Linked DNA regions of Rattus norvegicus. The protein of the gene in region 1 interacts with the protein of each later gene in a biochemical or structural test. Links are inferred from orthologs where the notes say so. Each region holds a gene or a part of one and is shown on either strand. Other genes may lie near its edges. The genes, in order: Rrad, Camk2g and Prkaca.

Region 1 (4,259 bases):
CGTCACAGCCAGTACACAGACAGACAGACAGACAGACAGGCAGGCAGGCAGGCAGGCAGGCACACACACACACACACACACACACACACGCGCGCCCAATCTTCACCCTAGAGATGAGCAAGGAAAGAATAGTTATGATATCCAGTAGTTCAGGACTGGGAACCTGAACGCTGGGAGAGAGGCAGACTGGGCACTAGACCCACAGCCCGCCCATCAGCTCTCCTTCCCTCTGAGACTATACCTGTTTTCACTCAGTGTCTGAGAAAGGGGAGACCCGAGGCAGTGATGGTACTTCATCTAGTTTTGCCATTGGCACATGGGTACTTAGTATGGATGAGAAGTGAGTCTTAAACAGAGCAGAGGCCCTGGGACTAGTTCCTAAAAGCTACCCCTTGCCCATAACCATTTATGCCCCTCCTCGGTGAGATGAGGCCTAGCATGGGGCTCAGGAGCAGGAAAAACTTGAAAACTCTAAAGGAGTTGGCTCTTTCTGGAGTCCCCCACTGTCAGCCTGGATCTCCCCAACTCTGGGCAGCCTCATGCCCAGAAACAAAATGGCTAGGGCCAGGGTTAGATATTTTTAGCAGTTACTGGCAGCTGCTTGGCATGCTTAGAGTTAGGGTGGGGACTTGAGTTTGTGTTTTCCTTTTTCTGGCCCTGTAGTTTCTCTCCAGGAGACAAGCACCTAGTAGGCCCTAACAGAGGACTCCATTGCACCCCCTGAACCTTCTAAGGGACCCTAAGAATTCATGGATGACACCAACCCTCAACCTGAAGGGCAGTCTCTTTGGGAGACTCTTTAAGTCCCAGAACAAGGACAGGAATAGGAAGGGCTTAGTGTTGAAGCTAGAAATGCTGGTTTAAGACCCTCTAAATTCTGGTTAGGTCCATGCCTGGAGGAATGGGCTCCATTGGTTCTGAGTGTGTCCAGTCTATAACATGTCTATTAGCTTGGGTAACAAGCCAGGACTGAGCCAAAGAAGAGAAAATTCATCTTTAAAGAGACAGACCTAATTTTTCTCCAGATGGAGTTGTACTTCACTGGTCCAGTTACCCACTACTGGCAGCCTCTGAATTACACACACTGGTGCACCCTCCTCAACTCACACTCCCTGTCCCCATACCTCCCCTCCAACACCCCCCTCCCCCGCCCTGTGCCAGCCTCTTTCCAGCTACCTGCCCCGCCCCTGGCGGGTTTGAGGTCCTAGAAGGGAGGGGGGGATTCCCGGGGGCGAGTGGATGCGTCAGCCTGGGCAGCAGCCCGGGAGGATGGGGGCGGGGGCGGGGGCGGGGGCGGGGGCGGGGGCGGGAGCAGAGGCGGGAGCGGGGTAGGGGTAAGGGCTGGTAGAGGTTTAAATAGGAGGCCCTAGAACCGCGATCCAGCGCCAGCTGAGGGGCTGAGAAGGCCATCAAGGAGAAAAAGGTTGCAGACGTGACAGAGACAAGGCTCCGAGTCTGAACAGGGGTCTGCGAGTGGGTCTATCTGATTCCCCAGTGGTCTGTGCCGCAGCGCTGATCAAGTGCTGATAGCATCTGTGCAAGAGTCGGTGAGTGTCCTGACAAAGCGGGGTGGACGACACCATCTGGGCTGGGGGATGAATGGGGACCCAGGTGAAGGTGTAGAGACCTCCTGGCTGGCAGTAGGTTCTGGCAGGTCCTTCATCCTGAGCATCTTTCTTGACTCCAGGGTCCTGCCTGTTCCCGCGATAGAGCTGCTATCCCAATTCTTGGTTCCTCAGACGGCGTCCGACACGATGACCCTGAATGGAGGCAGCGGAGCGGGCGGCAGCCGTAGCGCGGGCCGGGAGCGCGACCGTCGTCGAGGCAGCACCCCATGGGGCCCGGCACCCCCACTGCACCGCAGGAGCATGCCGGTGGACGAGCGAGACCTTCAGGCGGCGCTAACCCCGGGCTCCCTGGCAGCGACTGCAGCTGGAACTCGGACACAGGGGCAGAGGCTGGACTGGCCTGAAGGCTCCTCCGATTCGCTCAGTTCTGGAGACAGCGGCTCAGAGGATGGCGTTTACAAGGTGCTGCTGCTGGGGGCACCTGGTGTGGGCAAGAGCGCTCTGGCGCGCATCTTTGGTGGTATAGAAGACGGACCTGAAGCAGAAGCAGCAGGTGAGAGAACTGGGCTGTTTAGATAAAGATAGTTGGGAGGCAGTGGAGCTGGACTAAAAGTGGCAAATTCTATGAAATTTCAAGGCATTTTTGAATCATGTTATTCCTCCGCGTCCAAGATGGAGAAACTAAAGGAGAAGAGCCACTTACTCCCTACTTGCTGCCACCCCCTCTCCCCTACCCATGTGCTGGTCCTTGAAGAAGTCCAGAGAAGAAGTGTCCAGAATAGAGTGTAGAGTGCCAGATACGATTTCTCTGTGGCTTGGAGCAGAGAAATGTAGCTGCCTGCTGGGGCTGGCAGAAACAAAATCCGGGGAAATTTCTAGAAGAGGAAAGTTAGGTGGCCAAGGTCTCCAGGGGTTTGCGACAGGCACTATGCTAACTCCAGCCAATATGATCACACCCACTCTGTACCCAGGCAGCAGGATCCCTGGACACTCAGTACTTCAATAGTTTGGGGACATAGAGATGGAGGTCATGTCCTCTAGTCCCTAGCTCCCAGGTTTGTCCGTGTTGTTTGAGCATAGCAACCATCTGCTAGTGGATGAGAATTATCAGAGGACTCAGAGAAGAAGCAGGGGGTGTGGTCAGAAGAAGAAGGTGGACACTGGGAACTTTGACAGCCAACTGATAACTTGGCTCTTGGCTTCCTTCCTAGGGCACACATATGACCGTTCTATCACTGTGGATGGAGAAGAAGCATCACTAATGGTCTATGACATTTGGGAACAGGTAGGATGCAGACTGGGTCACAGAGAACGAGGGGAAGCAAAGCTGGAGAAGGGTCTTGCTAGGAATTACAAGGTCGTGTATGCATTTGTGTCCCCTCCAGGATGGAGGCTGCTGGCTGCCTGGCCACTGCATGGCCATGGGGGATGCATATGTCATTGTGTACTCAATAACGGACAAGGGCAGCTTTGAGAAAGCCTCAGAACTCCGGGTCCAGCTGCGGCGGGCACGGCAGACAGACAATGTGCCCATCATCCTAGTGGGCAACAAGAGCGATCTGGTGCGCTCTCGTGAGGTCTCTGTGGATGGTAAGCAGGCATTGGGTCAGGAAAGGGAGGGAGATCCTGGCTGGGCTGTGGGCCAGCTGGTCTTGGCTCAGCTTGAGTCCCTGGGGATCATCAGTGGCTAAAAATGTTCAGGAAGAAAACTTGGTGTTGGAGGGTGGGGGAGGTGTTGCTGGTCCATCAGGCTCCCAAAGGCCTACCTAAAACAAAGGGGGAGGGGAGGATCAGATCTGCTAGGAGGAATGAGACACGAAAGCACTTTCCACAACTGCTCGTTGGGTCCATGCCTGACAGGAGACAAGAGTGAGGCTGGAGAAATGGGCAAACATGTAGAGAATCAGGAAGTCAGAACCCAATTCCAGGCCCTACCAGTCTCGGCGTAAGCCTGGTGCTTCTTCATCAGGCTTTAGCATCCTCTTTTGTGGCATGCAGTACCGAGACTTCAAACTAGGTGATCTTGCCACGACCCCAGTATGTTGGGCTATTTGTTGTAGTAGCAAGTCATAAAATACATAGCTGCCGTCAAATAATCTTGTTTGCCTTGGTCCACTATTACAGAATACATTTTAAATGCTGGGCTTTAAATATATGAATGCCTTTTTTGTGGGCCACCATAAACTTTGGAGGCATATTCTGTCTATCAAGTGACCCCAGGAATGTTTGGGATTCTCGGTATAGGAAATGGGATCTCCATGTCTCTAGGAAGGATCTAGGGTTCCTTCTGTTATCCTTGAGTCATAGCTGCCGGATATGGCCAGGGTTTGAGTTAGCATTCTCCCATCATTAACTGGTATATGTCTGTCCCCATCACATAGAGGGCCGGGCCTGCGCAGTGGTCTTCGACTGCAAGTTCATCGAGACCTCCGCAGCACTGCATCACAACGTCCAGGCACTGTTCGAGGGTGTTGTGCGTCAGATACGCCTGCGCAGGGACAGCAAAGAGGATAATGCTCGTCGACAAGCTGGCACTCGACGACGGGAGAGCCTTGGCAAGAAGGCCAAACGCTTTCTGGGCCGCATAGTAGCTCGCAACAGCCGCAAGATGGCCTTTCGTGCCAAGTCCAAGTCCTGCCATGACCTCTCTGTTCTCTAAGGCCAACGGCCCCCTTGTTTGTGGGTCAGTAG
Region 2 (2,937 bases), on another chromosome or scaffold:
GCCTTCAGTCCCGAGGCCACGCTTCACAGTTGCCTCCACAGCGGGCTGGGAGCGCTGCGTTCTCTCCCAAGTAGGTCTGTTAGCCATGGAGTTTTCTTCTTTCTCATACTAGGTGTCAATGTATATTCTGAAGAAGTCCACTCCTAGACCTGGAGTGATCAGGTCACCACCGGGGCTGCAACCACAGCATGGCTCTGTCCATGACCAAAGCTCTGTCAAGAGTCCTTGCCTGGTCCCCCCCGAGTCCATGGGGGCCTGAGGCCAAGCTCACCTCTTCAAAGCCAGTGGGTGAGCCCTCTGTTCACGCCTGGATGAGCATCATACAAACTCCTGCCTTCTTCAAGCCCAAAGGCTATCAGTTGTTTTAAAACGCATCATGGTATGAATTCCATTTTTTTTTAAAACAATCTTATTTTCTTTTTTTTTTCTTAAATGTAAAAAACACCTCAGTACAGCAGAGACAGACACGAAGGGCGGGCGGGAGGGCTGCATGCAGGGGCGTGCATTGGCTGCTGCCGCTTTGTAATGTAATTGTTTTAAACCTCAAATGGACAGGACCGCGGCTGTCACTCAGGCCCTCCAGAGTCACTGACTTCGAAGGTTCAGCCTCCAGCTGGAATCTCCTAATGCCCCTGTCAAACAGAGCAGGAGGTGGCAACAGAAGAGAGAAGGACAGTGAGAACACAGGTAAATTCACGGGGTTTTGGTACACGGCACACTTGGCTAAGTCCTTGAATGGGCGGAACAGGAGAGCTAATGTTTAAACACGACTGTCTCACATTTGAGTGCCTACTCAATGCTTTACATATACTGTCTCACTCCTTACCATCCATCCTGGAATGGAAGCAGGTACAATATCCCCCGTCTTTGATAACTAAAGAAACTAAGGCTTAGCAGGGGAAGAATCCTAAGTCTGGAGTCTACCTGACTACAGAGCAAAGCTTATCAAAACTATGTTGCCCAGTCTGTGGCTCCCCTCTGGGGGTGGGGGGCATACCTCTTCCTAGAGTGCCACCTTCTACCCTTCTCTTACTCCTCCGACCTTAGCTATCCAAGCCACCTCCCCTTCCCAGCCACCTCTCCCTTCCCAGCCACGCCCCCTTCCCATCCACCTCTCCCCTACCAGGAGCACCTGTGCCTGAGCTCACTGCAGCGGTGCAGCAGGGGCTCCTGAGCAGTGATAGTGGACATTGAGCCACTTGCCATCCCGGCGGTGCCACACCCGGGTCTCCTCTGACTGACTGGTGCGAGGCCGACCCTGCCCATCGATGTACTGGGTGAGCCGGATGTAGGCGATGCAAGCTGCGTCCTCGCCGATGACATGGACATGTGGGTTTAGGATGGTGGTGTGGATAGGCTTGCTGTTCTTGGACAGGACTGCAGGGGGCGGGGCGGGGGAGGGGAGGGGAGGCAGCAAGCATTAGGCTCAGACAGTCACACACACACTCCCACCAGGCTGCACCTTCTGAGACTAGCTCCAGCAGCCATTTCTAGAATCCCCAAGTACTCCAACATCGCCCACCAGAGGCCGCAATCCTCCATTATATTGGTTTCATCCAAAAGGAAGAGAAATGTGGGTAATACTCGCAACTACTCTTTTTTTTTTTTTTTAATTCTTTTTTTTATTTATTTTTTTTTCCGGAGCTGAGGACCGAACCCAGGGCCTTGCGCTTGCTAGGCAAGCACTCTACCACTGAGCTAAATCCCCAACTCCCGCAACTACTCTTTTCATTAGGTATTTCATTAGGTTTTACAGGCGAGAGGGATGTCTGTCTTTACTGATTTTTTTTTTCACTATATGCAGGGGGAAAAACAAGACTCAAATTAAATAAAATATTTAAACTCAGGACCGGGCAGCTCTAATAAAAACCCGTGGCTTTTGTACTTGGTTAGGCTGGTATTTAAAAGTCCTAGGCTTATTTTGCCCCTAGCTAAGACTAGAAGAGAAAGATCATAAAAGCGATACATTCAAAATCAATTTGTGACTTGAAAAGAAAAGGCACATCAAAGGTTGAAATCCCCAAAGCACTCAGCTCAGGATCCCACCAAGTTCCCAGGGTTCTCTGGGTTTGGAGAAGTGGAGGGAGCTGGACTGACTGCCACTCACTCCCAGCATATGCCTTGCATATGGTGACGGCTTGGCTCAGATTCCCCGAGTTTATTCCAACACTACAGAGGCTGCAAGAGCCCTCCTTTAGAACTACGATAAGCACTGCCCTGGCTACTAGAATTACTTAGATAGCTAAGGGATTACACAGGCAGCTACAGTGTGGGGAAATCACATGCAGAGTCAGTGGGGGGAAAACAGCTACAACAGAAAACTCAGGGCAGAACAGGAGACACCAAGGATAAAGTGGATAAGGGGAGGAAATCTGAAGAATGAGAGTTAGGAAAGTAGAGATGGTGTGATGATTCAGTTCTGGGACTCCCAGGAGCTTATAGACCTCCCTATCCAGATGCTTGGCTCCCTCGATGTCCAGGGTGTCCTCGCCACAATTTCTGACCTCACAGTTCACCACTACTGCTGTTACTTGCTTACACATTATCCTGTTTGCAATTCCCTTTACTGGGAACCCTGCAGACACAGACCTCCATTATTACTCGCTGAGATCATCTTGAGTTAATGTTGAAGAGTTTACAGTCTGTCTTGGAGACAGGTGCTGTTTAAACAAATGCAGTGACCCTAACGGTGATGGTCAGCAGCGCCTTGATACAGCTGCCAAGTGAATGGGCACTCAGCCTCTGAGCAGTGCCCATTAAAAGCCAGCAGGACACGAGGAAGGTCAGATAACGCAAAGAGAGGTCACAGGGTAAAGGGTGGGTAGGGACAGAGGCAGGGGGAAGGGGCAGGCAGGAGTTTATCAGCAGCACGAACCCACTCACGATTCTCAAAGTAAAACTTATGGAAATCCATCCCCTCCACGAGGTTACCAAGGG
Region 3 (4,106 bases), about 41 Mb from region 1:
TGGCACAGTGGGAAACTGACCACGTTCTGACAGTGCAGCTAGAACCAACTGAGTGAGGTTCAAGCTCAGTGGTACAGTGGTTACTTAGCAGGGAGTAGGCAACCTGTTCAATCCCCAGCACTGCATAAAAATAAAATTTAAAGATGAGCATCCAGAAGGAAGCAGAATGGCTCTCCGCCTGCCCGCGGAGGGCAGGTTATTGCTGGCAATGTCTAGGCAATGAAGATTAGTTAAGAGCAAGGAACTAGTCTGACTGTGCCTCCACAAAATGGGAATATGACAGTCCCAACATGCTAGGTACAAGAAGTAATGTAGTTGGCCTGCGTCCGTTGTTACTACTTTTCAGAGGCCTCGGTTGAGCCTCAGCAAAGAGTGGACACTGAGAGTCTCCTCCCAGCCCGCCCTAAGTTCTGGGTCCAGCATCTCCTTGCAACTCCGGTTGTGTCGCGAGCAAACCAAAGCGGACCCGGAGCTGCTTGGGTCACGGCTGCCCAGTGTCAGGCCTTATGAATGACGCCGAACGGCGCCCGGCGACCTTTGACCCTCAGCTCCAGCCCGCCCCTACCCCCCCCCCCCCCCGGCAGGTGGACAGCCGCTGCGCCGGCTCGCTGTGGCGTCAACCTCTGGCCCGTAGCCGCTGCCGCACTGGGCAGGGGCGGGAGACTGCAGCGCGCACAGTGCCGCACGGACGTCCGCCGGGCCGCCTCCCGCACTTTGCAGCGCCTGCCACCCGGCCACCCTCCAGCCACCGCCGCCGCAGCCTCCGCCCCGCCCGCCGCCCGGGCCGCAGCTTGCGCCGCTGCCCCGCCCTCTCACCCCGGGACTGACACCCGCCGGGGCCGCGCGTCTCCGCCAATCGACGGCTTCTCAGGGCGAGCCCCAAGCCCCATCGGGCTTTTTGACCAATCACATGGGTTCGCCCGCCCGACTGCGGCCTCACAAGCCCGTGAATGGACGAGAGTCTGCAACTCGCGTCACTCATCCAGGAGCCTATGGTGGCGCGGGAGAGTTCCTGAGGGCCAATGAACAACGGCGTGGGGCTGTCAGTCAGGGAGGCCTGAACCAATGGAAGGTGGACTGCGGGGGCGTCACGGACAGAGGACTTGGGCTGAGGCTCCCCCGCGGGCGGGCGCAGAGAGACGCGGGAAGCAGGGGCTGGGCGGGGGTCGTGGCGCCGCAGCCAGCGCAGCCAGCCCCAGGGGCCGCCGCCTCCGCTGCCCAGCGCGCTCCGGGGCCGCCGGCCTCCTTAGCACCCGCCGCGTCGCAGCTCCGGGACTGGCCCCGGCCGCGACGCCGCCGCGATGGGCAACGCCGCCGCCGCCAAGAAGGGCAGCGAGCAGGAGAGCGGTGAGTGCCTGGCCGTCACCCTGATCTTCGCTACGTGCGGCCTGCCCGCGCAATGCCCATCACTGCATGGCCCCTCCCCCATATGCCCCCCCAATCCTGTCTGCTTGCACCCCTGCCTGCTGCCTGTACACGTTGGGGTCCGATCACCGCAGAAGTACCTTGCCCCCAGTAGGGCCCCCGTGCCCATGGCCTACCATCCCCCACTGCAAAGGCCGTGCCCCCCCACCCAGCTGTCACTGCCAACCATTGCATGTATGACCGCCGGGGCCCCAGATGGGGCCCTGTCACCATCCCACCCCCTCTTCTCCTAGTCCCTTTCCCCAGATTCTAATCTCCCCTCCCACTTCGTCACTCACCTTTCCCACACAGCGCCCCAATGCCTGACCCTGATCCAGGCTCCTGCTAGTCTCAGAAGTGCTGTGGGGTCCACGCTGCAGGGACCTTGGCCACTTGGTGACCACACCCCTCCCCCTCCAGCCCCCGCCATCTTTCTCCTACCCCTGCCCGATTCACCTCATCACAGCCCCCCCCCTTCAGGCCCCCCCTCACCCCACGAGCATTTCCCAGGGCCACCTCCTGCATTGTTTTTCCCTTCTGTGTCACTTGGCATGGGGGACAAGATCTTTCTGGGTCCCTCTGCCCCTCTCATCCTGTCACTCCACCTCCTCCGTGCAATCGTCTGGCCCTGGCTGGGGTGGCAGACTGTTTATGAACCTAGAGAGCTGCTTCTGCGCTTCCACATCCAAGTTCGAGCTGGTCTTGCTCAGAGCCATTGCGTCTGTCCTTTTTCTTGGGTTGCGGGTGAGGTAAAGCGGCAGAACATCCTTCTGGCCTGCCTGAGGTCTGGGTTCTTTGGAAGGAAGGCCCCTCAATAAATGGTCGTTTCACAACTGCTGTTCTGTCCCTCACCCAGTCCCTGGGGCTGGTTCAAAGCTGAGGATGAAATGAATAGCAAAGGCTCATTGGACTTGAATTGGGATGATTAGAAAGAAGAATTGCATGGGTTGGAGTAACCCCATCCAGCAATAGGTGACATTAATAATTTTGTTTGCTTAAGACAGATGGATTCTGTGTATACTGAGGGCTCACCTAGAATGAGTGTATTCTTTCCCCCATCCATAAACATGCTGAATTTTTCCAGCCAGGGAAAAAAAAGTAATTCCGTATTTGAAATTACTTCCGAAAGGGTCTTGAGCCCTGTCCCCAATACTTCCATGTCTTAAAGTGGTGTCACTCTAAGCCGTAGAAGTATTGCAGCTGAGAAGTCCTTCCAGTTACCCAAAAAGGAGGCTCTGATCTGCTCTGCCCTTCTCAGTGACTGAGTCCCCAGAATGCCACTGAAGAAGCCCAAGAACTTCCTGCCCCTCCCCCCCCCCCACTTTCAAACAGCAGAGCTCAGCCCAGCAGAGGAGCAGCCTTAAGAGGCCTGGCATTTCACCGATGGGCGGGGGACAGAGAGGCAAGTGCTTGTAGTTGAGGGCTTGATGACAGAGGAGCAGGTGGGCAGTGCCCAAAAAGGTCTTGGGCTTGGGCTTGGAGGGGCCCCGGGGCAGAGGGAGAAGGGCTAAGCTGCTTTGGCTGGTGAGGCCCACCAGGAGGTAGATGGTACGTACAGTGGACTGTACACACAGTGGACTATGTGCTGCAGTGGCCTCTTTGAGAGCCGAGCACGGTGCTAGAGAAGTTTAAAGCATATCAGACATACACAACAGAACTGAACCACAGAGCAGGGAAGATCCCAAGGAAAAGATCAGGAGTGAGCTGTACGGATGAAATCCGTGCATCAGGAGGGCTAAGTTAAATGGTTACCACAGGCATACTCACTTTGATGGTTTTTGTCCAAGTGAGCCATCTGAGTTTGATACAGATGATGGCTTACAGGCAGAGTTCACATCCAGATCTGTCTACCGGCGGCATATCTCCTGGACCCCGCAATGCCTCGACTCAGACATTCTTTTGTTTGTTTTGGTTTTTAAAGGCAGGATCTCACTGTATAGCTCTACCTGGCCTGGAACTTGAAATGTAGACCAGGCTGGCCTCAACTCTCAGAGATCCGCCTGCCTCAGCTTCCCCAGAGCTGGGATTAAAGGCGAGCATCATCGTGTCCAGCCTTCAACTCAGACGCTAAAGGTGCGTCAGCAGGAGTTAAACCCCAGTCATGTTTTAACTTAAAATGATAAACCCCACAGTAGTGTGTATTGACAGTACCAGCAACCCAAGAGGCTGAGGGAAAGGATTGAGTTAAGCCCAAAACTTAAAGGCTAGCTTGGGTAACAGCAAGACCTTGCATCAAAATACAAAACCTGTGTCCTACAGGATGGCCCTCAGGTAAAGATGTTTGCTGTGAAGCCTGTCCATCTGAATTGTCTCCCTGGGATCTGCATGGTGGAAGGAGAGAGCTGGCTCTTCACGTTATCCTATGACCTCCACAAGAATGTGTGTACACACACAATAAATGTATAGAGACATTTAAAAACATAAAAGAGGGCCAGAGTCTCAAACCAGCAAGAGAGGGACTGTGATCCAGAAGGAACTACGTTCGAGGCCAGCCTGGGCCACAAAGGAGACACAGCCTTTAAAAGAAATAATAAACACTTTGCTCATTTCCATTCATAGGTCCTAAGCTATTCCTGCCTGAGATTGCTAGGCCTGTTGTAGTCTCTGGTACGGGCTTGTCATCCCAGCTACTTGGGCAAGAGAATCTTAAATTCTAAGATAGCCTGGGCAATTTAAGGAGGAGCTATCCAAAACAAAAAGTA

Evidence for each region.
Region 2: of the proteins of Rrad (region 1) and Camk2g, one has a biochemical effect on the other in vitro, tested with the Homo sapiens proteins (2 studies listed by BioGRID, with this or other methods). The link is inferred for Rattus norvegicus from reciprocal best matches to the Homo sapiens genes RRAD and CAMK2G.
Region 3: of the proteins of Rrad (region 1) and Prkaca, one has a biochemical effect on the other in vitro, tested with the Homo sapiens proteins (2 studies listed by BioGRID). The link is inferred for Rattus norvegicus from reciprocal best matches to the Homo sapiens genes RRAD and PRKACA.

The regions. Positions count from the first base shown.
Region 1 is NC_086037.1:359,286-363,544, forward strand, and holds the start of Rrad (GTP-binding protein RAD), read left to right. Parts: upstream 1-1,390; 5' UTR 1,391-1,547; intron 1,548-1,687; exon of another isoform or gene 1,688-1,739; 5' UTR 1,740-1,754; coding exon 1,755-2,121; intron 2,122-2,779; coding exon 2,780-2,853; intron 2,854-2,953; coding exon 2,954-3,158; intron 3,159-3,949; coding exon 3,950-4,227; 3' UTR 4,228-4,259. UniProt on the Homo sapiens protein: May regulate basal voltage-dependent L-type Ca(2+) currents and be required for beta-adrenergic augmentation of Ca(2+) influx in cardiomyocytes, thereby regulating increases in heart rate and contractile force.
Region 2 is NC_086033.1:3,608,038-3,610,974, reverse strand, and holds the end of Camk2g (calcium/calmodulin-dependent protein kinase type II subunit gamma), read right to left. Parts: coding exon 2,884-2,937; exon of another isoform or gene 2,876-2,883; intron 1,378-2,875; coding exon 1,145-1,377; 3' UTR 1,133-1,144; exon of another isoform or gene 1,124-1,132; intron 633-1,123; 3' UTR 536-632; downstream 1-535.
Region 3 is NC_086037.1:41,080,249-41,084,354, reverse strand, and holds the start of Prkaca (cAMP-dependent protein kinase catalytic subunit alpha), read left to right. Parts: upstream 1-1,165; 5' UTR 1,166-1,301; coding exon 1,302-1,347; intron 1,348-2,012; exon of another isoform or gene 2,013-2,280; intron 2,281-4,106.